Linked DNA regions of Oryctolagus cuniculus. The protein of the gene in region 3 interacts with the protein of the main gene of each other region in a pairwise test. Links are inferred from orthologs where the notes say so. Each region holds a gene or a part of one and is shown on either strand. Other genes may lie near its edges. The genes, in order: SNX22, BAHD1, DVL3, SYT6, TNFAIP8L1, WT1 and KLHL12.

Region 1 (4,017 bases), on a different chromosome or scaffold from region 3:
AGAGGAAATGAAAGCACAGAACTTCCCCTTGCTTGGGCTGTTTCCCTTGGGAAGCCTTAGCTTCCTGATTCTGAGGTGTGGTGGGATCTGGAGGTGGACGGGCGGGGGGTGGGGGTCGGTGAGGTCCACTAGCCACTAGGGGTCATGCGCCCAGCCGCTCCAGCTCAGAAGCACCTCCGCACTAACAGGGTGAGATCTCCTGCCCCAGCCCTCAAGACAGGCCCTGTGCTTCCCAGGTCCCAGCCAAGACCGGCACGGCGTGAGCTCTTGGGAAGCAGCGCCTCCTCTCCCCGCTCCTCACGGGACAGCTCAGAGTGGGGCCAGAGGTAGCGGCACAGGCACTCCCCATGACCTCAGAGTTCTGGGGTCAAATCCCCCCACCCTCCCAGAAGGGTGGGCAAGAGCAGCCTGCTGCCACATCCCACAGGCCCTCTGCCCCCTGCCAAGCCCGCATCAGCGGCCATTAAGTCAGCACTTACTCCGCTAAGGGCTTAGCCAGGATCACCTCAATTTGTGTACACTGTCCCGAAGGAGGACATGGAAGTGAAAGCTAAGTTTATTCTGGTGCAAACAAATGTGAAATCCATTCATATGAGGGAGCGCCTCAAATGCATTTCGGATTTCAATTTTTGGTATAAAAAACCTTTAGTTCCACTTCCCACGAACTTTTGCCTTTAGATGACTATTACCTCTATTTAGCAAAGGTGCACGCAGTTCCTGAAATCCCGGCTGTCTGAGCCGCAGAGAACAGCTTGGGTCTCTAAATCGCCGCTTCCTGCAAAGCGGGCCGGCAGCAGGTTGGGGCTGAGAGCGAGAGTGGATGAATTCATGGGTGACCGAGTGAATGGGCGCCGCGGAAGTCGGACACGGGCGCTGGATTGCATCCAAGCCTTGCCCAGGCGTGGCTTCCGCTGGAGTCTCCAGGCCTAGATCCCAGGGGCCAGACCGAAAGGAGGGAAGGGGCTGGGGAAAGCGAGGGACGTCCCTGGTTGGCCCCAGAGCAGGTGCCGAGGTCCGGGCCCCGCCTCCACTCGCAGGCTGTGGCACTCAACAAAGAATAGGCGACGCCAGGGCTGCGCGTGTTCCTGGCAGCCCCTGAGCACTCGATCAGGGTCTGACGAACGCAGGGCTCCACCGAGGCGCTCCTCGCGCCGCGGACGCGGGCGCCGTGCGGACCCCCCGCTCCCCGCCTAATCGTCTCGGCGCAGGACCCCGCGGCGCGAGGAACGCCCGGGGCGGGGCCTGCGGGGCGGGGCCTGCGGGCCCGAGGGGCGGGGCGGGGTCCGCGCGCGGCGGCTGCAGAGTTCGGGCACAGAGCGGCCGGCGCCGGCGCCCCGGCGCAGATGCTGCAAGTTCACATCCCGTCGGTGGGGCCCGAAGCCGAGGGGCCCCGGCAGAGCCCGGAGAAAGGCCACATGGTGAGCAGGGCCGCGGGGTGGACAGGGGCGCGGGGACCCGCTGGAGGTCCTCGCCCCGAGCAGAGTGGGGACCGGGGCTCCCCGGGCTGGGCTGTCGGGGGCTGCCCTGCCCAGGGTTCCGGGGCTGCTGGTGCTCCCCAGCTATTGAGTGAGCGCACGAGCAGAGGGGCGGGGCCGCCAGCCCTTTTTTCTAAGGATGGGAAGTGCGGGAGGGTCCCCGGGGCTCTCCATCGGGGCCTCACGCGTGCCCCCCGCCAGGTGTTCCGAGTGGAGGTGCAGTGCAGCGGGCGCAGACACACCGTGCTTCGGCGTTACAGCGAGTTCCACGCGCTGCACAAGCGGGTGAGGCGGCCCCGCCCCCTGGCCGACCCCCTCCCCCCGCCCCCGCCAGCCTGGGCCCGCCCCGGGGAGGCAGAGGGGGAAACTCGGGTCCCAGCCTGGGCCGCCCCCGCTGCTGCTTCAGTCCCTAGAGGGCGCAGACCCTGCTGGGGGCCCGTGGCAGGGAGGGCGCAGGGGGCAGATCCCAGGCGACTGGCCGGGTCCTGGCAGGGGTGCGGGGAGGCGTGCGGAGCGCGGGTAGGCTGGGGGCTCCGTGGAAGGGCTGTGAGGGCACCACGGTAACCTCGGCAGATCAAGAAACTGTACAAAGTGCCGGACTTCCCCTCGAAACGCTTGCCCAACTGGAGGACCAGGGGCCTGGAGCAGCGGCGGCAGGGCCTGGAGGCCTATATCCAGGTGTGTGGCGGCCTGACCGGCGCTGGGGGACGCCCGCAACGCAGGGATGCTGCTCACTGCCTCGGGCTTCAGCTTTCCGCACGGCCCTCGGTGGTTGGAAAGACCGAGTGAGGACCGGGGGGCAGGTGGCGCCTGGTGCTCCCTTGCTACGGGAAGTGGAGTGGGGGGTACTTCCCAGGCCACCTGGGGGGTCCGGCCTGCGCTGTCCACCCCGGGTTTAATGCTCTGCTCTCCCTCTCGCGATTCTCCGGATTGCACTGGGCTCTGCACGCCGGCGGCTGCTGTCCTCTGTCCTCCAGGGCGTCCTGTACCTGAACCAGGATGTGCCCAAGGAGTTACTGGAGTTCCTGAGGCTTCGGCACTTCCCCACGGACCCCAAGGCCAGCAGCTGGGGGTATGGAGAGCCCGTGATGGGGGTCAGGGGCTTTCGGCAGCAAGCCAGCAAGGGAAGGTTTTGGAGGCCAATGTACTTGCCTGGTCCCCTCATCAGCTGTCTGGACCCACAGAGGGGCTTTTTCTGGACAGCCTTGGCTAACCCCAGCCACCTCCGGAACCGGCTGTCACAAATAGAAGCAGGGGTCCCCTGGGAGGTGAAGTTCTGGGCTTCTGCATCTCCACCCCTTCCTCACGGGCCCCGGGGCATCCCCCGGCAATTATAGGGCCTCTCTCCTCTGCTCCCTGGGGGAGCTCCTGCGGGGCACGGCAGGCAGGTCCGAACCTTTGGCAGTGACCGGCTCCTGCTCCCCCTGGTGGCCACAGGGAGGGAGGCGCGCCTGCAGCCTCGGGCCTGGCCGGCCTCCCCCTGGGCCCAGCCTTTCCTGATGGAGCCTCCAGAGCCCACATCTGTCACCTTTTCCTTTGTGGGCCTCTGAGGATCTCAACCCCTAGTCTCCATCCCTGCGGGACTTGGCCCTTCCCTTCCCCACTCCCTCCTGGCTCACGACCCTACTTCTTCCCAGCTCGCAGCTGCACCATCGGCCTGTCCTCAGCTTCCGCCTGGATCCCTACCTCTGTGCCCCCTCCCCAGGTGAGCTCCTCTGACCCGCGAGTGACCCATTCTCAAGGCCCAAGTCCGGGTAGACCGGTAGGGGCAGGCTTGCCAGTTCTCAGGACCCCTGGGTGGCCCCTCGCTCCTGCTGCTCTGTGCACCTGAACCTGCACTGTAAACACCAGTGAATGAATTCAGCCTGGTTCCCCTGGTCTAAAATTCTGTTACAACCCGGCCTTACCAAGCTGATGAAACTGACCTGGAATGCCAAGGCTTCATTTGGGGACACAGCTGCAGGAGCTCCTACTCCCCAGGGACGCATGAGCCGGTGGGCAGTGGCTCAGGGAGCCGCAGGCCTGAGGCCAGACCTGTCCTGCACCTCTCCGCCCACAGCCCTCCACCCCTTCTCCCGTTCTCCCCTGCAGAACCTCTGCCCAACATGGTGGTGAATGGTGTGCTCCAGGGACTCTATGGCTTCAGCATCAGCCCCAGCTCGGCTCAGCCAAAAGCTGCCGGTCACCCTTCTGCTCTGCCGCCCACGCCTTGAGCAGCCACCCGCCGGGACAGTCGTGTGCCTCAGCCCCTGCGCTCTGTCTCAGGGACGTGGGCTGGTCCTCCGGTCCTGGTGCAGGGGTCGGCCTGCACTGGCAGCTGGGGTGGGGAGTTCACGCGTTCCTGGAGCCAGGCGCGAATGGTCAATTTCGAGGTAGGCTGTGACAGGTCCAGGTGTGTCTGCACTTGGAGAAGCAGCGGCAGTTTTAAGGCAAGGGCTGAACGCCGTGCCTGCCTACCTGCCTCTGTGGGAACACCTAAATCAAAGGGCCAGGCACCCATGGCGAGCAGGGAGTCCCCGCACGCCAAGAACCCAGCCCACAC
Region 2 (3,500 bases), on a different chromosome or scaffold from region 3:
GGCCCAAGTTCCTGGGCCCCTACACCCATGTGGAGACCCGTAAGAAGCTCCTGGCTCCTGGCTTTGGCCTGGCCAAGCCCTGGCTGTTGCAGCCACTCAGGGAGTGAACAAATGGAGGGGACATTTTCTTTTTAACTGTCTTTCAAAAAAAAAAAAAAAAGAAAAGAAAAGAAAAAAAGATGCTGGGTCTGGGCACTGCACCTCTCAGGCCTGTACATTAAGGCGAAGCTGCCACCGGCACTACCTACCAACCTCCCTGTGAAGGCTGAGCCCAGTAGGCACGCAGAAGGTTTGGGCTTCTGCAAACTAAGGAATTCTAGCTTTCCTTGAGGAGGGCCGTAGGGTCACGGGACAACCTGGTCAAAGCCCCAATCAGTGTGTAAGCTGTGACTCAGAGTCCAGACAGGTATCTCAGCGAGGCAGGCGGCGAGGCCCTCCTGCTCTCTCGGCCACTTCGAGGCTGCCACTCCCCAGGAAATTTCCACAGGCAAGCCCTCCCTTCTCAAAGCTCTCTGGCTTGTAGTAGTGGCTAGAAACCAAGCCCCTGCCCAGAACCACAGCCCACCCTGGACGCCATGTTTCAGAGGCTCCCCATTCCCAGGAAGGCTTACCTGCTGCAAAAGGCATTTTGTAGGGGCAGCCGCCACAGGTAGTGCCAATGTGGGTGAGAGACAGGGGCAACACTCCGCAGATGCTGTAGCCGCTCATCCCTGTGTCCTCGCTGGAGCAGTAGCGAGAAGGACCCCAGGCAGGGTGCTGGAAAGGGGTGCCTGAGGGCACTGAGCCTGGGGCCAAGAGCAGCCCCTCGTTAGGGGCAGCCACTGGGGACAGCTTGCCCTCGGGGAGCATGGGGCATGCGGAGTAGCCACCACACTGCAGCCCTTCTTGGCCACAGTACAGGTAGAAGCTGCCCAGTGTGGTGAGCTCAGGCCCAGCACACAGGCCACTGTAGTCGGCAGAGTTGCCAGGCATTGGCAGCGGGGACAGCTGAGGGGCAGGAAAAGAGGGCTGATGCAGTTCCTGCTTGGGGGCAGGTGACTCCTCACCTGGGCGCCCAGGCTCCGGTTTCAGAGCTGCCTGCCCACCCATCAGCAGGGGCAGGTGTGGGCGCAGCCCCAAGGGGTTCTCCAGAGCCTTACTCAGGGGCTGGTAAGGTGGCTGGCTGGATGGCTCACGAGGAGTGGCAGTTGGCCCTGGCTCATCAGGGTGTCCCTGCCAGCCCGGTGGGCCTGCAGCCTCCCCAGAGCCAGCCCCCTGTCTGGCCTTGGGATAGTTCTTGCCATTGATCTTGGCCCACTTTGGCCTTGGCGCCTTGGGTGCCGGGAGCTCGGTCGAGCGCCCATCCGCTTCTGTGTGGGCCCGAGGTGGCCGCAGGGGCAGCTCGCGCTCCTGGCTCAGCTTCAGGAAGGCCGCTGCATTCAAGCTAGCCAGTCTCTTGGGTGCTGGGTCTCCATCTCTACGGGCACCTTCATCTGGAGCTGGCTCTGGGGACAGGTCCCGATTGCCTTCCCCAAGGTCTCCAAGCCGGGGCCGCTTCTTGGAGGAAGGCCAGGCGCCAGCGGCCCGGTCGCGGTCCCGGCTGCGCTGGGGGTCTCCCCGACTGCGGCGGGTGCCTGCCAAGCTGCCAGTGTCCTCTCGCTCCAGCAGCAGGTTATTGAGGGCCTCTGCATTGAGGGAGGCCAGGCGCCGCTTTCGGGGCTGGGCAAGGCTGGTGTCCTCGCTGGATGGGGCCGGGCTGGGGGGCTTGGGCAGGTCAGGGGGCAGCTCGTCAGCCTCGTCTGCACTCCGTGGACCAGCCACATTCTCCAGGCGGGTCAGCAGCACTTTGCAGGCCTTGGGCTTCTCAGGAACCAGTGGGCGCTTACGCAGTGGGTAGTTCTTGCGGCGCCCTGTGAGGTGCCCAGGGCTGTCAGGCATACCTGGCTCCACACCCTCTGCCCCCTGCTCCATGCTGCTGTCTTCCATCTGCAGGGGCTCCCGGCGGCCGGGGAGGCCTGAATTCAGCATGGGAAGGGACTTTCTCCGAGTGTGTGTCATGGAGTCCCTCTCACCTGCAGGACACAAGACAGGCAATGAGGAGTGCCCCTGGCCTGCCTGGGCTTCCCCAGGACCCCCCTTTAGAGTGCTAAGGTCCAGTGGAGCAGCTGAGCAGGGAACTGCTCCTCCTCTTTTAGCCCAAATAAGCCCCTGGAGAGCTCCTAGAGCAATGCAGATCCCAGGGTCAGGGACCCGAGGAGCTGGATGGAGGCACAGCTTTCTGTTTGCTCTGTGTGGTCTTCTCCTACCAGGGGGCAGCTCTGAAGACGCTGAGGCAGGCTGGGAGCCTGGGCGACAGGAGTCCCTCCATCAGTGCCTGTCATGAGCACTGCTAGATCATTACCCAGCCCTCCCCTGAATCTGGGCTTCCCAGAGAGGCTGCAGGAGGAGGAGACGGGCAGCAAGTGAAGAACCTGCCTGCTGGGCTCTGGGGCAGGCGAAGTGCAGCATCTGAGGACTCCCTACCTAGCACATGGAGCTGGATGGCCGTGCCTGGGTGTGCCTGCCGTGTGCCTGGGTTGGAGAAGACGGGAGTCTGGGAGGCCTCAGCCACCCCTCCAAGCCAAATGAATGGAGGCTCAGACTCCAGGGACGTGTAACCCAGAGTGGGGGGGAGGGCATCAGCAGGCTCCTGAGTGTGGGAAACCCAGGGCTGCACGCTGGGCCTGTGCTACAGCCCCAAAGCCCTGCCAGGCACCGAGAGTTGGGAAAAAGAACTCATCAGAGGAGAGTTAATGCAGAAGATAAAGCGGGGCTGCCCTGTTAGCCCTGCCCTGTTCCCTGGTTCTCCCTCTTTGCAGGCAGGATGCCAGGCAGGAGCAGGCAAGGAAAGTCTTAGGCAGCCCAGAGCCGCTGACCAAGGATGCCCACAACATGCATCATCATCCCCTAACTCTGCTTGGCAAAACAGGCCAACATACACCGGAGCAGGCTGGACCCAGTTCAGCGAGGCTAGAGCTGGCTGTGTGCTGGGAGCTGGCATGGCCAATGAAGAACAGCAGAGGCCGGTGGGGAGGGGCCGTTGGTGGTCAGAGACCACTGAGGGGTCCTCTTCCTACCCACTCCCCAACCCAAAGCACAGGCCTGCCAAGTAAGGTGCCAGACAACGTGCCCCCCAGCAGCACCCCTGCGACCCCTCCCCACCCAGCAAGCCCAGGCTTTTCAGCTTAACTTCCCACTGCTATTGTTATTCACACTCACTCAGCTCCAGGAGCTCGGAGCAGTCCCTGCTGGGCCAGGATTTAACCCTCAAAGTCCCAAGCCTGAGGGTTCCCATACAGTTCCTTCCAGCTGGCTCCTGTGGCCTTGGGCCAGGGCTGGGGTGGCCAGGAACCCTCTCTGAGGAGACCTGCCGCACCAGAGAGTGCTCAGAGAAACTGGCTGAGGGCAGTGTGGCCAGGGAAGCTGCAAAGGGGAGGCAGCCTGCCAGGCTCCGCTCAGGCCATGTGCGGGGACTTGCCACT
Region 3 (4,253 bases):
CCCTGGAGTCAAAAATTTGTCCAATATAGGGGAAGGCATTTGACACAGTAGTTAAATCACTAGCTGGGATGCCCACATCTTGCATCAGAGTGCCTAGTTCAAGTACCGGCTCCTCCACTTCCATGCCAGCTTTTTGCTAATGCACTGGAAGGCAGCAAATGATGGCTCAAATATTTGGAGACATGGATGGGGTTCTGGCCTCTTGTCTTTGACCTGGCCCAATCCTGGTTATTGTAGGCATTTGGGGAATGAACCAGCAGATGGAAGATCTTTCTCTCTCTTTCCTGTTCCCTCCCCTTCTCCTCCCCTGCATTTCAAATAAATATATATCCAGGATCATATGAATGTTAAGGATATTGGGAAAGCATTATGGAATGTGGAGAGGTTTCCCAGTGGAAGAGGTGAGTGAAAGTGCTGCTTGCTAACTTGGCAAAGTGTACAAAGTGTCCGTACTGCCGCCTGTGATCTCCCTGCGTGTGATCTCGCCCTGCCTACCTTTCTAGCTTCACCTAGTCCCTCTAGGCACAGTCGCCTTCTTGCTCCTCACGCGAGTTAAGCTTCTTCCTGCCTTGAGCTTTTCTAAGTGGCCATGGAATACTCTTGCCCCCATCCCATGGCCGCTTCCTGCTTGTTATTTTTAGGTCTTGACTCAAATGCAAAAGGCCTTCTCTGACTACCCAGAGTCCTCCTGTTCCTGTCACTATCACAGTACCCCATTGTATCTTTCCATAGCATTTGTCACTAAGAAATTATTCATTTCCAAGCCTCGGTGCTTCCTGGCAGGTGAGTGAAGGCCCTGGATGCTACTGCTCTATCTCCATGTCTTGCCCTTAGTACGCACTCGAAATGTATTACGTTAATTAAAAGCCAAGGGATGAGGAGGCCTGTTAGGAACCGATTATACCTAGCTCCCACTCGAGGCTGACTGGCCCAGTGATGCACGCATAGGCTCATTCTTCATGCAATCCATTCACCTAAGCCACTACTTTGCTCCCAGACGCTGAGGTTCTGAGGAGACGTCAGAATCCCGGGACCGTCAGGCCCTCAGGGAGCTCAGTCACCGCGGCGGGGCTCCTCAGCGGACCCTGGAGGGCCACGCTGAGATAATGTCCTCCCGCGATCCAGTCAGGTCCACCCCCTCCCCCAGACCATCTCCGGAGCCCAAAGCGCCCCCTGCATTCCAGCCCTCTCGGGCAGGGCAGCGAGGACCGCCGGTCCGCTCCAGCGGGAGCCCGGGACGCGGCAGTCCCGAGAGATCCGCCCCTCCGCCCCGGGGGCCTGGGGCCCGGGAGCCGCCGCGCGGTCGGGGTCACGGAGGCCAGGGAGTCCGCCGGGGCCGGCCATCTGCCGCTCTGGCCGCGCCGCTCGGCGGCTGCGGCGGCGGGGGGCGGGGCCGTGCCGGGGCGGGGCCACGCCGGGGCCGGGGGAGGGGAGGCGGCCGGGCCGCAGCGCCGAGCCCGGCGGGCCGCGGCCACCGGAAGAGTCGCGGTCGCCAGCCCAGCCGGGGGAGCGGGGGGCGGAAGCGGCGGCTGCGGCCGCGGCGGGCGGCGCTGGGACCCGGGAGCGCCGGGAGAACAAGGGAGCTGGCGCCGCGGCCGGCCGCCGAGCTGGGCTGAGCCGCTGGGCCGCGCCGAACGCCGCCGCCGCCGCCGCCGCCGCCCGAGAGGCCCGGCCCGGCCGCCCGAGCAGGCCGCGCGCGGGCCGCCGGGCCCGAGCCGGGGCCATGGGCGAGACTAAGATCATCTACCACCTGGACGGGCAGGAGACGCCGTACCTGGTGAAGCTGCCCCTGCCCGCCGAGCGCGTCACCTTGGCGGACTTTAAGGGCGTCCTGCAGCGACCCAGCTACAAGTTCTTCTTCAAGTCTATGGACGACGATTTCGGGTGAGCGTGGCCCCCGCCTTGCCTCGGGGGCCGGCCTCAACTCCCCCGGCTTTCCCCGCGTCACCCTGGCTTCCAGCGAGCGACCCCCTGGCTTTCTCAAAGGCCGGGGTTCGGGCCGCTCTGGACACTCCCCGTTCACCTCTCGGGGGGGGGGGAATCTTGGTTTCCTAGTTTGGGGGGACGTCCCCTCTCCCAGAGCCCATTTCTGCCCGTCGAGCCCCCCCCCCACCTCCTCAGAGACCACACGGAGGGACACACCCCCGCACACCCAATTCCAAAGCCTTGGTCCCCCAGCGCCGTCCTGCAAGGGAGCCACCTTTTTAGTGCAGACTTGGGGTGTTGGGTGTTGGGCACTCGGCCTTCGCCTTCCCCATATTTGGAGTATCCTGCATCTGAGGGCCCCGCCGTGGGACTTTGAACTGGGGGAGGGGGCGTTGGGGGATGCTCGGCGCCAGGCTGGGAGCTGGGCCTGTAGACCTGATGTTTATTTAGCTGTCTCCCCTCTGGCCCGCGGGCAGTTCGGGGATTGCCAAGGGAACAGAGTGCCTGACCCCTGAGGAGCAGTCCTCACTAACCCAGGTGCTGATCCCTGGGCACTGGGGCCTTTCCTGTCCCGCCGTGGCCAAGGTGGACTTTGGGAAGGGCCTCAGAACCTGGATGGCAGGGCCAGGAAGAGCTCATGGTGTTTGTCCCCCTCCCTGGTGGCGGCTCCTCCTGCTGCAGGGCTCTGGACCCACAGAGTTTGGAAGCAACCACTTCCCCTTTAAGAGGGGATGGAATGTTGGAGAAAGGTTCTTAGCAGCTGGCCTGGGAGGGGGAGCCTGGCTGATCCCCTCACACACCCCCTCCCAACTCCCTGGGGACTGGGGGAGGGGGAGGCCCCCACACTAGCCTGCCCCACACTTACTGGGCCCTGGGCCTCACAGCGGCGGCCTCTTCAGCCCTAGCCTGGGGCCCCAGAGCTGAGTGAGGGGAGGCATTCTTGTCCCCACTGTTCGTCAGTCTGGCTGCCCTCCCAGGGCCCTGGCCCTGGGAGCCCCAGGAAGCACGCACCCTCTGTGTCTGTCTGGCATGTTTGGCTGTCACCTTCTGCCCTGGAACTCAGGGTGTGAGGAGCCCCTGGAAGTGTGTGCGTGAAAGTGTTGTGTACAGTGGGAAGTGTGGGGCTCACTCTTGTTTGTGTTGTTGGTGCTCCTGCCCTGGGGTGGGGTACTCCTGGTGTGGTAATGATTGTCTGGTGTCAGACACCCCTGATGAGTAGATTCTGAGGGATTAATCTGGAAGGAGTAGGGGCTAAGGGCTGGGTGCCTTAGCCTGGCAAGAAAGGACTGGGGTTGGAAGAGACCTGGATGCCACCTTGGGATACAGGATTGGGGGAAAGCAGCCAGAGTCCAGTGCACAGGGCCAGATGCCTGGAGGAACTAGGCTAGGCCTGTGTTTCCACCCTTCACCGACCCCGCCTCTGAAGCTTAGACTCTGGGGGCTGCCTCTCCCTTTCCCTAACTGCAGCCATAGCCTGGGACTCCCTGCTCACTGTTTCCTTACTGTTTTTCTTTAAGTCCACTGTCAGTCCACTCTGTATTCTTCTTAGCTTGACTCAAAGACATTAAATTACAGAGCCAGTTTTCTTAGGTATATTTCTTTATAAAATACATTAAAGATAAGTATTGAACTGAGCAACATTTATTCATGTGCCACCTGGAGCCATCTTGCATACAGCCTCTCTCTGTGAGGTATCAGAGCTGGCCATGCTAGCAGGGTTGAGAACAATGCTAAAAATGAAGTGGAGGTGATTGATCTTGTTTGTATCCCCTGAAGGAAATGAGCAGGAGACCTGGCAGGGCCGTCTTATCACAGAGGATTGACGGCTGAGGAGCGTATATATGTTTCATCTATTTGACAAACTTTGTGGGCCTTCCAGTGTGCCAGGCAATGATCTAATGCTGTTCAAATTTTCACTCATTGAATCCTCATAGCAGCCCTATGAAATAGGTCATAATATCCTATTTACAAATGAGAACACAGAAAGCTCAAGTAACTTGTCCAAGGTCACACAGCGAGTAAGCAGCAGAGCTTGATTAGACATCAGAAATTTGGCTCCAAAATCTAAAGCCATAGTCATGCAATTCCAGGTAAGATTATTATTTTTTTAAAAAGGGTTTATTTATTTGAAAGACAGAGTTAGAAGAGACAGAGACCAAGAGATCTTCCATCAGCTGGTTCATTCCCCATATGGGCTCAATCACCAAGACTAGGCCTGGCCAGAGCCAGGAGCTTCATCTGGTCTCCCAAGTGTGTGGCAGGGGCCAAGTATTTAGGCCATCGTCTGCTGCTTCCCCAGGCACATTAGCAGGGAGCTGGATCCGAAG
Region 4 (3,500 bases), on a different chromosome or scaffold from region 3:
GGTGTTTTCAGCTGCATCGTGGTCTCTCTGTGGTAACTGGGATTATATCAAGGCGTCTATCAGGAAATGAATAATTAATAAATACAAAGGAAATACAAGGGAAATCTTCAATATACTTGCATTTCCAGCCAAGTTCAGAGGCACCTCCCAAGTGGTAACAGAGGCTTCCAAGTGGTAACAGGAATCATCAGAGGATCTTGGGCAGGGGCCTGGGGGTTAGAATGAGCCTCCCCATCCTTGCTCTTCTGAGTGCAGCCCAAACTGCTCTCTGTGTACAGGGACGGGAGGTGGGGGGTGTTCAGGACTCAAGCAGCAAGCCACTCCTTTGCTATTTTGAACTGATTTTGTTTTAAATTTATTTGAGAGGGAGGGAGAGAGCGAGCGAGGCGAGAGAAACACTCTTGCGCACTAGTTCACAACAAAATGCCCACAATGGCCTGGGAACGCCAGGAGCTGGGAACTCTGTCCAGGTCTCCCATGTGAGTGGCAGGACCCCAATCACGAGAACATCACGGCTGCCTTGCAGGGCGCACACAGGCAGGAAGCTAGAGTCTGGAGCGGAGCTGGGTGTCAAACCCAGGCACTCTGATGTGGTACAAGTGGGCGTCGCTGAAGCGCCAGGCCAAACGCCTGCCCCTCTATTATTCCCCTACTCAACTGTCTTCCCCTACACCGACCTGCGGAATCGTGGCCGAGGGACTGAACCTCTGACCCCATGTCCAGCCTGCAGGGCGCTGCAGGTGCACCTGAGCGAGCCTTTCCTTTGTTGTAAAAACAAGGCTACATCTCCGGCCTTGCTCTTTGAGTGCCGAGGCAGAGGCCAGCAGCCCTGCAGGAGAAACTCATGCAGAAATGCACTGTGCTTGCCAGGGCATTTGCTCCTTGACCCAGGACACAGGCTGCCGCCCCAGGCCTGGGTGCACCTGTGGACATCTACGCTCCCACTCCACGGAGCCCTTCTGTGAGTCCTGGGGCCCCTCATATACCTCAAAGACTGTCCTCACTTTTTTTTTCTTTTGCTCCTATGGATTTCTTTCTTATCATCTCCTTCCTCTAAGAGAATGATTGAGAGCAACAGCTAATCTCTACCAAGTGCTTATTATAATGCAGTCAGGTACAATTCTAAATATTTACATGGCTTAATTTGTTCATCCAGGCAAGGTATCATCATTCCTGCTCTTCAGACTCAGAAACCGAGGCATCTACACAGCGGGGAGGTGGTGGGAGCGGAGCTGCTGCCCACGCCGCTGCCCCGCTGCTGGTGCCCAGCTCTGAGACACTGGCAGGTCTTAGCCAGCCTCCTCAAACCCCCTTCTGCACGCTAAGGTCTGGCCGGTGGGGAGGGGCGGGGAGGCACCTGAGTAGCCTGTGATGTCCATCGCCTTGAGGTTCCGGCACTTGATCACGGTGAGCGTGAGCCTGCCCGCAGTGGGCAGGTAGCACAGGGAGAACATGATCTCCCCCAGGTCCACGCTCTCCTGCAAGGAAGCACACGAGAAGGCGGGTGAGGGGCGTGCGGCAGCTGCCGGAGGAGAGCCCAGGGTCCTGGCAGGAGATTCTTGGGGTACGGTGCCATGTGTGTAAGACCCTAGAGGTGGCCACCATGCTGGGAGTAACTGGGGAGAGAAGGCAGAGATCACAGTGTCACCCCCACCACCAGAGTTTGCCCCCTGCGTGGACACCCGCTCTTGCTCTGACCAGATTCTGGGCTCAGAGCTGGCCAGCGCCCTGCCCGACGTGCGCCCCTTGCCTGAAGCCTGCAGCCGCCGACATCTTGGGGGGCCCCAGTCCTGTTCTGCAGCTCACTGAGCCCCTGGATTTCCCGCCCACCCAGGTATGTATGTGTGGTCCCGGCAGTGTCCCCAACAAGATCCAGGCTGCAGCCCACAGGGGTCCCCTCTGCGGCCCTCCTGCTTCTGTCCCCCAGCCCAGCGGCTCGTCATCAATCCCTCTGCTTTGGCAGCGTCCACGCCCAGGGCTCTAACGTGCAATCTCGGCGTGAGAGCGCAAGGCAGCGGTGCCTGCCCGGGGCGCGCTGCTCATGGGGGAGGCCCACAGCCCCCACCCCACACTGGACATCACGTCCTGGACCCCTAGGAGTTCTTCAGGAGCAGACACGGCAGGGGCCATGCGCTCTGCTGCCTCTCCTTCCCCGCGCAGCGCCAGGAGCAAGGTTCCCTGGGCGATTCCGAGAGGACACAAAAACTCCTTAGCGAGCCTGTGCATGGGTCGTATGGAGCAGCGCCTTCCAGAGCCCGTCCTCTCTGCTCCCCATGACGAGTGGGGAGGGGCGCTGTCACTGAGCATCCTCCCCCCGCAGATTCGAGGTCCTCGGGGCTCTGGGATGGTGGAGCCAGGCTGGACGCCAGGGTTTGGGTGGCTCTGACTTCAGGCGGGGCCACCTAGTCATCTGTTCATTCATTTACCCAGTGATCACTAAGCACCTGTGATGTACTAGGTGCTGAGAGGGGAGACAACGAAACAGACACAAATCCTTGCCTTCATGGGCTTTCCTTTCATCAGGGCCGAGCAGGACAAGAGAGCTACATAAGTACGTGGGACAGGCAAGAGCATCAAGAAGAAAAAAGGCAGAGAACGCCAGGGAGGCTACACTTGCTGAATCTTCAGGCAGGGAAGGCCTCCCGGAGGAGGTGTCTTCTCAGAAAGAGAGGAGTCAAAGGTGACTTTACGTTTCTTGTCCACACCTCACAAAGAGCCAGTCTCTACTGAAGACTCGCTGGAGTCCTGAGCTGGAGTCCTCACCAAGCCCTCTCCCACCTCCTTCCAGAGCATGTAGTCCCAAGGTTCTCCTCTAGATGGCATTAAACCCACCGTTTCCACCCCACCCGGAACAGATCCAGCAGGAGCACAAGGTGAATGAATACCCCAGTTCCCCAGGAGAGGGTCTGGCTGCTGCCGCCACCTCCAGCACACAGGACCCTGCAGCCTCCACAGCACCTGCGATCAAGACCAGCACCCACGGAGCTCTTCCACGGTTACGTTCCCACCTCGGAGGCTCGCTGGGGCCCTGCGTGGCAGGCATTGTGTCTGCTACTCCCTGGGCTTCGTGCACTCGGTTTAAACACTCTGCCCCGCCAAGGGAACTCCCCTGGGAGTCCCTTGGGCGAGTGTTCATGCCCTCCACCTGTGAGCTCCCCTTCCCGCTCACCCAGGAAGCGTCTCCAGGTAACCCTGGCTCCTCTACCCCTTGGGTGCCGCTTCAGCCACCTGATCCATCTGTGTGCACTCCCGCGCTCTGTGGTGAGAGTACAGTCCCCACGCCTCTCACACGCAGTGTAGCCTAGTGGGGTGCAACCAGTTCAAGAAGACGCCAGGGTCCCCAGTCTCCCCAGTCCCCAAATGAGGGAGACACAAACTGCCCCGTGCCCCAGCCTCGCAGGAAGGTGACAGTTCCTGTGCCATGCAGGAAACAAATCCTTGTCCACCTGGCCGAATGGTCCTTTTCCTGAGGAAGAAGGAGAAGCTCTGGCCCCTGCCTT
Region 5 (3,841 bases), on a different chromosome or scaffold from region 3:
AGGGCAGTGTGCAGCCGGCGCCGAGCCCCGTGTGCTCCCCGGGTGGGCGTGTGTTCGGGCCTCCTGTGTCTGTTTAGACGTCCTTATTAGAGAGAGTGCTCGCGAGCGGCCTCCATCCACAGGTTCACTCCCCAGACGGGCCAGGCCGCACCCGGGAGCTTCCCGGGCTCCCAGTGGGCGCAGGGGCCCAGCACTCAGGCTGTCCGCTGTCTCCTGGGCCACAGCAGGGAGCGGGGTGGGAGCGGAGCCGCAGGGACTGGAACTGGAGCCGATGCTGCAGGCGGCGGCCTCACCCCTGCGCCACAGCCCCTCTGTCACCTCCGTAACGGGAGGGCCTGGTGGCAGTGGCGGCAGGAGACCAGGCGTGCGGGAGGAAGGCGCTGCCCAGGGCTCTGGGACGTGGACCAGAGGGACAGGCTTGGGTGCAGAGACCACACCCAGGCCCGCGAGGGCTCGGGGACCGTCGGTGCCGTAAAAAAGAACGCGCGTGGGTTTCAGAATTATTTGCGCCAAAATAAATGTGCTTTTTTAAATGTTTGTGCATTCAATAAACTTGAAAGGCAGAGGGAGAGAGATCTTCCGTACAGCGGTTCACTCCCAGGAGCCAGCGGCCAGGCCAGGACCAGGCTGCAGCCGGCAGCCCCACCGGGTCTCCCGCGTGGGTGCCGGGGCCCAGGGTGCGCGTGCGCGGGACCCGAGCCCAGGTCCCCGGCACGGCTTAAGCAGCTGCGCCACAGCCCCCGCCCCAGACCCGTCTTTTAATTCCGTTTTTCCCACAACGCAGTCTGCGGGCCCCTCCTAGGTGGCCTCCGAGTTTGGAAAGTTAGGATTATGGCAGGCGCCCCCAGCCTGGGGATAACTCGCCCATCGCCCCGTCGGGCAGGCCAGGGAGAGGCAGGAGGGGGCCCAGGCCTGGGGCCGGCATGGGATGCTCCCCGCGCACCCGGGGCGGCGCCGCAAACGCGCGTAGCCGAGGCCCAGGGCGGGGCTGGGGCTGACCAGGGGCGGGAACACTCCGCGGGAAGCGGATGGGAAAGGGGCCACAGGAAGCCCGCGCGGTGCCTGGGTTCAAGTCCGGCTGGGGCCCCTCCGCCCTGGTGGGGGAGCCGGGGAGGGGACCCGCGGGCGGGCGGGTGGCCTCTGCCTCTCCGAGTGTCTTGGACGCCCCGGGCAGTGGCTGCTGCAGAGAAACCGCCGTGGGCTCCGATCAGTTCCACTGCCCGGCCGGCCCCGGGGTCCCGCCTCGCGCGGCCGCCAGCCCAGGGCCCCCTGCCCGCAGGGTCACAGGCGGTCCTGGTCCAGCATGCGGCCGAGCGCGTCACAGAGGCCGCGCAGGTGCGAGCGGTAGGGCTCGGCCGGGCCGTAGAGCGCGGCCAGGAAGTCGCCGTCGGCGAAGTGGCGGAACACGCGCTGGATGCGGCCGTGGGACTTGGCCGTGAGGTGCGGCCCGGCGGCCTGCAGCAGCAGGTCCCGGCACTCGAGCAGGCCCGCGGCCAGCACGCGCCGGTCGAAGGTGAAGGCCACCTGCTGGAAGCTGAGGGCGGTGAGCGCCAGGCTGCGTGCCCTGCGGCGCAGGCGCTGCAGCTGCGCCAGCTCGGCGGCCGCCAGCTGCCCGGCCCGCAGCAGCACGTCCAGCTTCACGGCCACCTTGACCAGGTCCTTGACCAGCTTCTGCGCCTCCTTGCGGCTGCGCGTGAACTCCTTGGTGGCGCGGTACAGCTCGTCCAGCGCCTGGCCGCTCGCCTCGTCCACCAGGGCGGCCGCCATGGTCTTGGACGCCATCTTGCTCAGGAGCTTCTTCTGCGTCTGCAGGGCCAGGCTGCGGGGGCTGAAGGCGTCCATGGCCCTGCGGCAGGGGGCAGCGCAGGGGGCAGCGCGTCAGGGGCCAGCGGCTGGGGCGGGCCGAAACCGCAGGCCCCGCCCCCAGGCCCGCTCATCAGTCTCCCCCCTCCCACAGCTGGGGCGGGGCCGCCAGCCCCAGACCCCAGCTGTGCACGGCCTCTCGGGGCGCCCCCAGAGCGGTGCCCAGGGCTTAGGCCTGGAGTCAGCTGGTGCGTGTGGGGGGGTAGCAGCCTGGGCAGTGGGTTCCTGGGGAGGACACCGTGGGGCCCTGGAAGGACCCTGGGGTGCCGCTGCTCCCGCCCAGGGAGGGGCCGGGCAGGTGGCCAGGGAGGACCGGCCAGGGCACAGGCGCAGGGTCCGTCCCTGGGTGTCCCGCCCACCCCCACCCCCACCCCCCCATGCATCCTCCCGGGTCCCAGGACCAAGCCCACGCCTCCCCCGGGCCCCAGCCCCGGCGCCTCCCCGTGCAAGGCTCACCCCCAGTTCAGCCTGCATGGCCGGCCCCTGAAGTGGCCAGGCGTCTCCTGGCTTTGCTTCCCGCACTGGGCTGGGAGGCAGCAGGCCTGACCCTGTGTCCTCAGTCCAGAAACTTCTACAGGCAGAGCCGGGGACCCAGGACCCCAGGAGGGCCTCAGGGGCGCCCGGGAGCCCCCAAAGCCCTGTGTGTGAGCTCCGACCCCTGGGGACGTCCTCACCTGCCCTCAGGGGTCAGGGCAGGCCAGCGTTGACCGGGGCCTTCCCTGCCGGCTCCCTGGTCCCCAGACCCCGGCTGCCCCCGGCCCTGGCCACCGGCTTGGGCCCAGCTCATGGTCTCTGCCGGGCGCTGGGCTGGTGGCCCATTCTGCAGGACGGAACACAGAGGCTGGGAGACACTGAGCCACCCCCCTCGGCACCTCGGCACCCCAGAGCCCAGCCGGGGGCCCTGACGGATCAGGGCCTGCTCCCAGCGCTGGCCTCCCGAGCAGGCAACGTAATCGCCGCCTGCCTCAGTTTCCCCGTCTTATAATGGGGGTGAGCGGAGGCCCCAGGCACCCGCTGCCTGGAGCCACGGTGTCCAGTGTGGTCCCACCTGATGCCCTCTCCGGCTTTCTCTGGTGCCTTTCCCGCCGCCTGGACTCCCCCTGCAATGGCTCAGCTCCCTCGAATCTCGGTGCCGCCATCACCTCCTCTTAGAAGCCCACCTGGATTCCCCGGGCTGGTGCCCCTCCCCCAGTCACGGCGCTGGGCCTGGGGCAGGGGTGGGCTCTGCACTGTTCCCACGGAGTCTCCTGGGCCCGGAGTCCCGAGGTTCCCTGGGGAGGAGGCCCAGGCCCTGGACCCCCGAGGGTCTTCCTGCCCGCCCTGGACCCGCCAGCCCTGGGTTGGTTCCCAGGCTCCGTAGAAGGCCCGCAGGAAAAGGGGCGGGGCCCAGCAGCGGCCCCCAGCCCCGTGCACACCTGGGCTGCCAGCTGCACGCCCCCGCCTTCCTCCCCACGGGCCCATTGTTCTGACGGCCGTCCCGGGGGAGCGGGCTAAGGCCCAAAATAAATGCCGGCTTCCTTCCTGCCGGTGACGGTGCAGGGCCAGGCGTCGGGGCCACCGAAGCAGGGTGCTAAAGTTGCGGGGGCTCGGCCTGAACACTCACGCAGTCGCTCAGCAAACACTGCCAGCGTGTGCAACGGCCAGGGCTGGGCCAGGCGGGAGCCAGGAGCCGGGAGCTCCATCCAGGTCTCCCATGAGGGTGCAGGGGCCCAGCACTCGGGCCCTCACTGCGGCCTCCCGGGGTGCATGCGCGCAGGGGGCTGGATGGGAAGAAGAGTCAGGACTCGAACCCAGGACCCCCCCGATATCAGAGGCAGGTGCTCCAAGCGGTGTCTTAACCGTGGGTCCAAATGCCCACCCTCCTACTGGGCAGGTTAGACGTGGGGTTAAGAGGTGGAGACGGCGCGGGGGGAGGGGTCCGGGACATTCGTGCCGTGTCCTGAGCCAGGTCCACAGCCCGGAAAGGCCAGGGTCAGAA
Region 6 (4,296 bases), on a different chromosome or scaffold from region 3:
CTCTTGAAGCCTGTCCACTGGAAGGGCCTTATAACTGTCCCCAGGAGTGCAGTGTCCACTGGTTGAGAACCTCACCTCTGCCCCTACATGTAGGTGGAATTGATGGAATCTAAGCACCTGCCCACCAGGAGACTGGACACTGGGGCCCCAACCAAAGCCAGAGAACCCAGGTTTCAAGATTCGCAGGGCAGAACTGAGACTCAAAACGGAGATAAAGGTGCGGCAGTCTTTGGTTCCCCCGGGGTCTTGGATAGGAAGCTTCTAGGGTCTCTCCAGATAACACAAGTCCACCCACGGACTTGTGTCACACACCTGCCGGGCGGCGGCGCGTCTGGAACCCTGGGCTGTTAAGGTACGCTACTCTGTCCTGGACGGAGAGCCCCGCGCTGGGAGAAGTCAGACTGCCACTTCTCTCCCCGACACCTCTGAGGGCAGACCCAACCTCCAATTGTCCATCTCAACTCTCCTCTGACAGAGGGGGAAACTGAGACCTGGAGATTCCATAAAGGTTAACAGCAGCCTACAGTAAGAGGTGGAGCGCCCCGAGAACATGAGTCTCTGAGAGCCACAGTAAGTGCTTCCAACAGCCCTTGCGTTCCAAAAACTTCATTCCCGAGAGGCGGAGAGGGGCCCTGGGGTCTGCCTAAGGTTCCTCCGTGGGACCCGGTTCCCAGATTTCTCTGGAGGAAACTGCATGGTTTCGGTTTTGCCACGGCTTCGGCTGGGCCAAGGGCTCCTGGGTGGTCGGGAGAGCCACGCAGACCCTCTTTCAGAAGACGCAGGTGAGAGCGAGAAGAGCCAACCTCTTCTTCCGTGCCTCAGGGTACTTCGTGCCTCCTGGTACTTCGGGAACACGGTGCACAACAGTGCTCCTCCTACCCCACTCATTCTAGAACCATCCCAGTCCTGGGCCTGGGCGAGGTGGTGATCCAGGAAAAGCGTCCGCCATTGCGTTTCCTAAAACATCCCATCAACCCGAACCGGTTTAAGGTTCTCAACAGCAGAGACATGCAAGGAGAATAAACGAAGGGCCCGGACCACAGGCGCTCGTTCTAAAGGAGTCTGCGCTGGTCGGGACCAAACGTCACGCGCGTGGACGCCCGCGCGGGTATAAGAGAATCACCGGCCGACGTCGCTCGGGGGGAATCGACTGAAGACGGCGAACAAGCCTGCCTTGTCCTAACGCATCAGGTTGCAAACTCTCTCCCTGGTTTACATTACGAGGAGGCGCGCCAAGGGCATCTGCTCCGGCCTTAAATGCCTGCGGTAGCATTTGGAATCGGGTAAGCTGGGTTCCTGTCCGTGGCTGGAGCCTCGCGTGGCCGCTGCCTGAGCGAAACCTGAGAGACCGCCTAAGGCGCGCACTCTCCACCAGCACAGGCGCGGCTCAGGCAAGCCACCTGGTCACTGCCCCACGGTTCTTCCTGGGTGCCAGTGTGTGCCAGCACCGTATTAATACCTGGGGAGCTCCTGGACATTTTGGCGCGGCGGGGCGGGGAGGCAGGCCCGGGATGCTCACCCGCGCTGCTCCCAACCTGACCCCACCATCTACACACGTCTAAAAAGTGCAATGCCTAGTGATAATTTGGAGGCGCCAAAAGCAGGGGAAAAAAAAAAAAAAAAACAACTCGTGGCCCGAGGCCTGGCCGCACTCTGTACCCTTCCCCTTGTTCCATTCCCGTGAGGGGAGGATTCGCGGGGCCCCAGGCGGACTCCCGGCTCATGCGAACCGCTAGGCTCCCCGCTCTGCCGCGCTGTGGAGAATGTCGGGAGCCTCTACTGGCGTGCGCTCCCCCGCTCCCTGGCCAACGCTTCCGCCACCCGCACGGCCATAGCGGAGGCTGCGGGGCCAGAGCTGAGATCCGGGACGGGGGAGGGGAGAGGAGAGGCCACGCGCGGCGACAGCTCCGGCGCCGCCGCCTCGCGCTCCCCCGCCGACTCACCCTGGTTGCGAATAGCTGGCTGGCTCTCGAGGCAGCTGGGCAGGTATGGTGCGTTGGGGAACATCCTGGCCTGGCCAGAGGAGGCCTGGCTGGGCGGAGGAGGGCCGAAGGGCCCGTAGCGGCAGGCTCCCGCTGTGCCGGTGAACTGGCCCGAGAAGTGGACCGTGAAGGCGCTCAGGCACTGCTCCTCGTGCGGCTCCGCGCCGCCCCAGCTCGGCTCCTGTTTGATGAAGGAGTGAGGCGGCGGCGGCGGCGGCGGGGGTGGCGGCGGAGCGGGCGGCGGCGCGGGGCCGCCCAGCGAACCGTAAGCCGAGGCGCCCGGGGGCGCGAAATCCAGCACCGGCGCCCACTGCGCGGCGCCGCTCACTGGCAGGGTGCAGCCGCCGCCGCCGCCCAGCGAGGGGACGGCCGGCAGCAGCGCATTCAGGTCCCGCACGTCGGAGCCCATCTGCTGCAGCTCAACCGCGGACGCCCCGCGGCCTCTCCGGCCCTGCGGACGCTCGGCGCTGGACTCGGCCGCACCTAACTTGGCCCAGATGCCGCCCGGGCCCCGAACTCCCGGCTGCTCGGGCTGCTGAAGGCACGCGGGCCCCGAGCAGAGCGCGTGCTGAGATGCCGGCTCCGGGGCACACGTGGAATCCGGCTCCTGCGGCGGGAGGAAGTCCAGGATCGCGGCGAGGAGGCGGCAGGGCCCCGGATCCTGGGCTGCCGTCCCGGCTCTGGGTGGCTGGGTGGGTGGGTGCGTGAGTGGGAGGTAGGGCGGGAAGGGGGGAGCCGACAGGCGGTCGGCTTGCGGAGAGCCCCCGGGTGTGGGCGCTGCCTTGAACTCCTTACCCCAGCTGCCTGGCTGCCCCCAGCTTCCCAAAGCTCAAATAAGAGGGGCCGGCGGCGGGGGAGGAGGAGGAGCCTGGAGGCTCGGCCGCTCCATTCACACCGCAGCCCTAGCCGCGCTGGTCAGCGCGCACAGCTCCTTGGGGGCGCCCTCGCCGCGGGGGCGGGGGGGGGCGGGCCTGAGGGAGCGTCCCTCGCCGAGACACCCTCCTCTCCCACCCGCCACGCGCTCTCAGCAGGCCTGTGTGGCGCAGCCCTCCCCCCACCGCCCCATCCTAGCTTTCAGGAGTGTGGGCGCCTCAAGGCCGCGGGCGAGTCCCTCCAGGTAAGCCGTGTGACCCCCTCTGCATCCTTGGAGCTGGGTGGTTCATCCTAGAGGGCGGGCTGGAGGGAGGAGCAGGTGGGATCCAAGAGGGCGGGAACTGAAGGGGAGCGAAGAAAGAGGCGGATACCCTGGGTATTTGCGCCCGCGACTTCGGCTCTTGCTTTACGAGCCGTCGAGTTGGGATGATGTCCGTAATCCTCGGGTCACTGGGGTGGGGGCGGCCCCTTTGTGGATTCCGGGGGTCGAGACCCAGGGCAAAAGCGCCCCAGCTGGGCATCAGTTACGCTAAGCGGGGCGTGTTGGATCGTCTGGGCGTGGGTTAGTTGGTAAGGTCTGAGAGGGGGGCGGTTGCCGCCTACCTAAAACTGCTGCCAGCGGCCCGTATTTTCCTTTTCTCCCAAGGAGTATCCAGTTGTGCGGTTAAGCCGGGAAAAGCGAGGCTAGTTTGGGAGGAAAGAGAACCCTTGGGGAAAACACCCGGAGCCTGCCTATACTCTGGCCGGAGCATCCCGGCGCCCAGTTGAGGGAGAAAGAGGAATGGAAATGGGGAGGGTTCGGATGCGATGCTTGCGGAGAGAGGTTGGCTCCTGAGACCGCTCTGCCAGGCACTGCCTCTGCTTCTGGTCAGCAAAGCGATGGACACGAGGCCCAGGACGCAGCGGGACAGGGAGAGCCTGCCTCGGCTCTACGTTGCGCGGCAGTGTTCGCACCGTGGGGGGCTCCGAGCGCGTGGCTTCGCCAATTAGACTCCTCCCTCCACTTAGGCGCTGTCCCGCGGAGCCCCGCGCGCTAGAGCAGGTGTTGGGGAGTTGGTTTTGTTTTGTGAGTTCTTCCAAAGTAGTGAAGATCTATCGGGAACCAGCGTATGGGTAAGGAGAAGGGCCGGGAGCCCGAAGCGGGGAGCGCCTCAGCGGCGCACAGACACGCAGAGCGCCAGGAGGCAGCGGCGATGGCGCAGCCTGGGACTGCCAGGCGCGCGGGGCAGGAAGCAGCCGGTTGCTGAGAGGCCTCGCGCGGGAGGCCGGGGCTGGGGCCCGCGGCTCCAGCGGCGCCTAAGTGAAGCGACCATGGAGGTCGTCGCAGTTGGTCAAAGAAGCCGAGTGCTCCGGTCGCCTAGACCCGTTCCACATTTCTTAGACTTCGGTTTTACCCTGCGTTGTGTGGACGCAGCCTCGGTCAGCTCCGCCCGCTCAGGAC
Region 7 (4,063 bases), on a different chromosome or scaffold from region 3:
TGTAAACCAGGGAGTCTTCGGGTGGGAAGATTGCTTATGGAAGACAGAGACACCAAGCAAAGTAGCAGCCGCCCACCGTGCTGGGGTATCACCAACCTTAGGCATCAGAGGCCGCGCACAGGAAAGCAGTGTGGGCACTGACTTAGGTGGAACTGAGGAGCCCCGGCCCCTAACAATGCGTCCAAGTCAAGAAGAAGCAGAAGGCCTAGCCGCCCCCTCCCTGCACCCCCGGGGACGGCAGACAGGTCCGGCAGGGCTGCTCCGAGACCCTCGCAAGCCCCACTGTGACGCAGAGAACGCCCGAGGTCTCGGGGTTCTCGCCACAGCACTAGTCGGCGCGAGGCCGCCACTGTGGACCGTGGATTTTGAGACAGTTGCAGTGTCTCTGGGTTTCCTGGATGACAGGCAGTACCCGAATCCCTGGCAGGTAAAACGGAGCCCCTGCAGTCAGCGCCTTCGCCTAGAAGCCCTGGGAACGCTCCCCGTGGGGCCTGCCTCGTGGGCTGCGGGCAGAAAGAAACTCGGTTTCAGCGCATCACAGAGCTGGACGCCTGCGCGATCCCCTCCCCGGGCGCCCCCTCTCCTGCTGCTGGCCGAAGCCAGCCCCGGGCACATGCGGGTCAGGTGACGACGACGCCTCACGTGATGCCGACCCAGGGGAGGAGGGGGGCGGGCCTCGCTTGGCATTACGTCATCACGTCGCGCGGCCGCGGGGACCGGAGCCGGGACGCCCACGGTGACGGCCCCAGAGCCTCCGAGCGGGGGCGGCGGCGGCGCTCCGGCTCCTGCTGAGCCGCCTGCTCGCCCCGCTCCCCGCCCCGTCCCCAGGGACTGTGGCCGGGCTCGGCGCGGCCGCTGGGCCCGGGAGCCGAGGTGAGTGGACCGGAGGTGGCGGCAGGTAGCCCCTGCCTTCGTAAGGTGGTGGCCCTTCCCCCATTCCTGGGGCTCCCTCCGAGGAGGAAGGCGGGGGGGCTTCTGGCCTGCGGCACCCGGCGACCCGCGCCCCTCCGCTACCTCTGCCAGGCGGTGCCAGCCTAGCGCCCGGCGTGGTCCGCGGCGAAGACCTTCCTTCCTTCTCGGGAACTGACCCTTACCAGGAGTGGACACCCCGGCCCCGCCCCCAACCTGCCGTGGTGGAACCCCCGTGTTCAGGTGTGATCGGAGGTTCTAGAATAGGGCCCTTCCGAAAGGTAAGGGTGAGGCTGTGCTGAGGCTGCCTGGGGGGGCCGCTGTCCCCGCGCGAGGTCCTTCGGACCCTTGCATCCCAGGGTGGCCCTCGGTTGAGCGAAGGAAGACCTTTGTGCAGGACGCTCGCTCTGATGAATCACCGCCTGGTGTGCAAAGTGCCTGTGGCACAGTCGCTGGGTGGATCCTGTAGAGTGATGTGCGGACCATGGACAGAAGTAGATGAGTTTGGGGTCTTGTTTTTGCTCCTCAAACATCCTGACCGTGAGTTGCGAACTTTTTTTAATTTCTTGGATTATTTTTGAAAGTTTTGGATTCCCAGTAAGATGTACTCTCTTAATGACCACCCCCCATTTCACTCCCAGAAATTGTGCCTGAAGCCAAAGGAGAAAAAAAGGCTGTGAACTAGCACCTGTTCCTTAAGTTGCTGTTAGGTAGGGAATCACTGAGCTGATGCGCACAAGTGAACTTTGGGGCACAGCCGTCCCTTGGTGTCTGCAGCGCATTGGTGCCAGGAGCTGCCACAGATACCAGATAGGCTGGCACTCAGGTCTCCTGTAGAACGCTGTGTTTGCATGCAGCCTACCTAATGCATTGTAACTGCTGTGTAAGTGGTTTTGATACTCTGCTTAGGCAATAATGTCAAGGGAAAAACCGTGTGCATGTATAATACCCATGATTTTTTTTTCTCAAATAGTTCTATCTGCAGTTGGTTGACGGTGTGGGTGGGGAGCCATGGGACAGAGGGCTGACTTGTAACAGGCCACGGCAGCGATGGCGGTGAAGTTGGCAGTAGAGGGATTTTAGGTTTCTATCCTGACAAGTTCTCTGAGTATAGAAGAAGTGCTGTGAATATTGATGTGTTAGCATTGGTGGACGTTCCCAATCGTGTAGAACAGGAAGACTCCTACTGAGGAGTTTTGACGACTCTGGGGAGACCACAGATGGCTTGCGTGGTCTCTGCTATTCAAAGCAGGTCCCAGGTTGTCGTTTGAAATTTCACTTTCAGAAGAAATGTAATTATATTTGGAAATCCTGATGCATAATTCTTTGCATCTTGTATTTCTTTGGAAACCAGTTCATTTTCACCAATACTAGCCTTTCTTGTTCTAAGTTGAATACACTGTTTTTCTTATATTTAATTGTTAAATTTTAATTGTGTACCTGCTAGGGTCCATATGAACCAAGAACCCACCCTCTGAATACTTATTCTCTTATGAATATTAAATAGCCATGATGTCACACCTTTAAGGGATTTTACCTTTTTATCACTTGAGACAATCCCATGAAGATACATAGGCCTTTCTGTTTAGAATACAGTTGAGCACCGATTATAATAAATTGCAGGTGGCAGGGACACTCATGACAGAGGACTTGAGAGGAAGCAGGGCTGCTCCTTAAGCTAGAAGAGTTAGCGGCCAGATGGCGGTGAGCCCAGAGAGCGCAGGGGCTGTCCCTGTGGGCGTCTGTGCCTGCAGAGGTCTCAGCCCCCGTCTGGGAAGCTGATGGCCTGTGTGCCTCTGTTGCCTTCTCTTGCAGTTCCAGGACCCAGGGCCCCCTCTGTTCTTTCTCCATATTGCTTGATGGGAGGCAGGATGGCCCCCAAAGACATAATGACCAACACGCATGCTAAATCCATCCTCAACTCGATGAACGCCCTCAGGAAGAGCAGCACCCTCTGCGACGTGACGCTGAGAGTGGAGCAGAAAGACTTCCCCGCCCACCGGATCGTGCTGGCTGCCTGCAGCGACTACTTCTGCGCCATGTTCACCAGCGAGGTAAGCAGGCCGCACCCGTGCAGCCCATGCCTGTAAGCGCCTCGCCTCGCCTCACCGAGGAAGACAACCCAAGCTTCATATGGTAGTGGAGTCTTGTAAGACGCTGTGTAAGCAGGCAGGCTTATTCACAGTGAGATCCGCACATGCCTGTGCCTTCGTTTTCTCACCTCTGAGTTAGAGATAATAGTGCTGCCCAGTGCGTCACGCAAGGCTGTGGCGAAGACAGAAAATTACGTGTCAAGTGCTTAGGACAGCTTAGTGGGTAATGAGACGTTATTGACTTTGTGTTGGTTTGTTTTTAGAGATTGACTTATTTATTTATTTGAAAGTCAGAGTTACACGGAGAGAGGAGGAAAGGCAGAGGCAAAGAGAGAGGTCCTCCATCCGCTGGTTCACTCCCCAGATGGCCACAATGGCCGGAGCTGCACCCGATCCGAAGCTGATAGCTTCTCCCGGGTCTCCCACGTGGGTGCAGGGGCCCAAGGACTTGGGCCATCTTCCACTGCTTTCCTGGGCCACAGCAGAGAGCTGGATGGAAAGTGGAGCACTGGTGCCTGGATGGGATGTCAGCACTGCAGGCGGTGGCTTTACCTGCTACGCCACAGCACTGGCCCCCAGCTATAAAATTTGCCTTCACATTTTTCTAAGCTTTAATTTTTTTTTTAATTATTTGAGAGGCAAAGTTACAGAGAGAGAGAGAGGGAGAGACAGAGAGAGGTTTTCCATCTGCTGTTTCACTCCCCAAACTTGACCACAACTGCTGGAGCTGGGCCGATCTGAAGCAAGTAGCTTCTTCCAGGTCTCCCTTGTGGATGCAGGGACCCCAGCACTTGGGCCATCTTCTACTGCCTTCCCAGACCACTAGGAGGAGCTGGACTGGAAGTGGAGCAGCTGGGATTCCAAACCAGCATCCATATGGGATGCTGGCACTGCAGGTGGAGGCCTAACTTACTATGCCACAGCTCGGGCCCCTCCCCAAACAATTTTTGACTACTATGCCTCCCCAGCTTCTGATATATGTTTATAATCTATTTTCATTTATTTTTAAATGTTTATTTTTATCTACATGAAAGGTAGAGCAACAGAGAGGGGGAGAGAAG

The links.
Region 1: the proteins of DVL3 (region 3) and SNX22 interact in binary tests that used the Homo sapiens proteins (3 or more experiments, as listed by UniProt). The two-hybrid records come from large-scale screens. The link is inferred for Oryctolagus cuniculus from reciprocal best matches to the Homo sapiens genes DVL3 and SNX22.
Region 2: the proteins of DVL3 (region 3) and BAHD1 interact in binary tests that used the Homo sapiens proteins (3 or more experiments, as listed by UniProt). The two-hybrid records come from large-scale screens. The link is inferred for Oryctolagus cuniculus from reciprocal best matches to the Homo sapiens genes DVL3 and BAHD1.
Region 4: the proteins of DVL3 (region 3) and SYT6 interact in binary tests that used the Homo sapiens proteins (3 or more experiments, as listed by UniProt). The two-hybrid records come from large-scale screens. The link is inferred for Oryctolagus cuniculus from reciprocal best matches to the Homo sapiens genes DVL3 and SYT6.
Region 5: the proteins of DVL3 (region 3) and TNFAIP8L1 interact in binary tests that used the Homo sapiens proteins (3 or more experiments, as listed by UniProt). The two-hybrid records come from large-scale screens. The link is inferred for Oryctolagus cuniculus from reciprocal best matches to the Homo sapiens genes DVL3 and TNFAIP8L1.
Region 6: the proteins of DVL3 (region 3) and WT1 interact in binary tests that used the Homo sapiens proteins (3 or more experiments, as listed by UniProt). The link is inferred for Oryctolagus cuniculus from reciprocal best matches to the Homo sapiens genes DVL3 and WT1.
Region 7: the proteins of DVL3 (region 3) and KLHL12 interact in binary tests that used the Homo sapiens proteins (3 or more experiments, as listed by UniProt). The two-hybrid records come from large-scale screens. The link is inferred for Oryctolagus cuniculus from reciprocal best matches to the Homo sapiens genes DVL3 and KLHL12.

The regions. Positions count from the first base shown.
Region 1 is NC_091443.1:87,211,748-87,215,764, forward strand, and holds the start of SNX22 (sorting nexin-22), read left to right. Parts: upstream 1-1,217; 5' UTR 1,218-1,343; coding exon 1,344-1,418; intron 1,419-1,676; coding exon 1,677-1,760; intron 1,761-2,048; coding exon 2,049-2,153; intron 2,154-2,452; coding exon 2,453-2,547; intron 2,548-3,112; coding exon 3,113-3,180; intron 3,181-3,566; coding exon 3,567-3,688; 3' UTR 3,689-4,017. UniProt on the Homo sapiens protein: May be involved in several stages of intracellular trafficking. Interacts with membranes containing phosphatidylinositol 3-phosphate (PtdIns(3P)).
Region 2 is NC_091443.1:63,632,837-63,636,336, reverse strand, and holds part of BAHD1 (bromo adjacent homology domain-containing 1 protein), read right to left. Parts: intron 2,052-3,500; 5' UTR 2,038-2,051; coding exon 612-2,037; intron 1-611.
Region 3 is NC_091435.1:93,733,659-93,737,911, forward strand, and holds the start of DVL3 (segment polarity protein dishevelled homolog DVL-3), read left to right. Parts: upstream 1-1,453; 5' UTR 1,454-1,723; coding exon 1,724-1,884; intron 1,885-4,253. UniProt on the Homo sapiens protein: Involved in the signal transduction pathway mediated by multiple Wnt genes.
Region 4 is NC_091438.1:56,259,353-56,262,852, reverse strand, and holds part of SYT6 (synaptotagmin-6), read right to left. Parts: intron 1,479-3,500; coding exon 1,358-1,478; intron 1-1,357.
Region 5 is NC_091447.1:59,885,495-59,889,335, reverse strand, and holds the end of TNFAIP8L1 (tumor necrosis factor alpha-induced protein 8-like protein 1), read right to left. Parts: intron 1,847-3,841; 5' UTR 1,843-1,846; coding exon 1,282-1,842; 3' UTR 501-1,281; downstream 1-500. UniProt on the Homo sapiens protein: Acts as a negative regulator of mTOR activity.
Region 6 is NC_091432.1:33,511,590-33,515,885, reverse strand, and holds the start of WT1 (Wilms tumor protein), read right to left. Parts: upstream 2,801-4,296; 5' UTR 2,392-2,800; coding exon 1,944-2,391; intron 1,594-1,943; exon of another isoform or gene 1-1,593. UniProt on the Homo sapiens protein: Transcription factor that plays an important role in cellular development and cell survival. Recognizes and binds to the DNA sequence 5'-GCG(T/G)GGGCG-3'. Regulates the expression of numerous target genes, including EPO.
Region 7 is NC_091444.1:18,666,275-18,670,337, reverse strand, and holds the start of KLHL12 (kelch-like protein 12), read left to right. Parts: upstream 1-1,263; 5' UTR 1,264-1,319; coding exon 1,320-1,449; intron 1,450-2,724; coding exon 2,725-2,963; intron 2,964-4,063. UniProt on the Homo sapiens protein: Substrate-specific adapter of a BCR (BTB-CUL3-RBX1) E3 ubiquitin ligase complex that acts as a negative regulator of Wnt signaling pathway and ER-Golgi transport.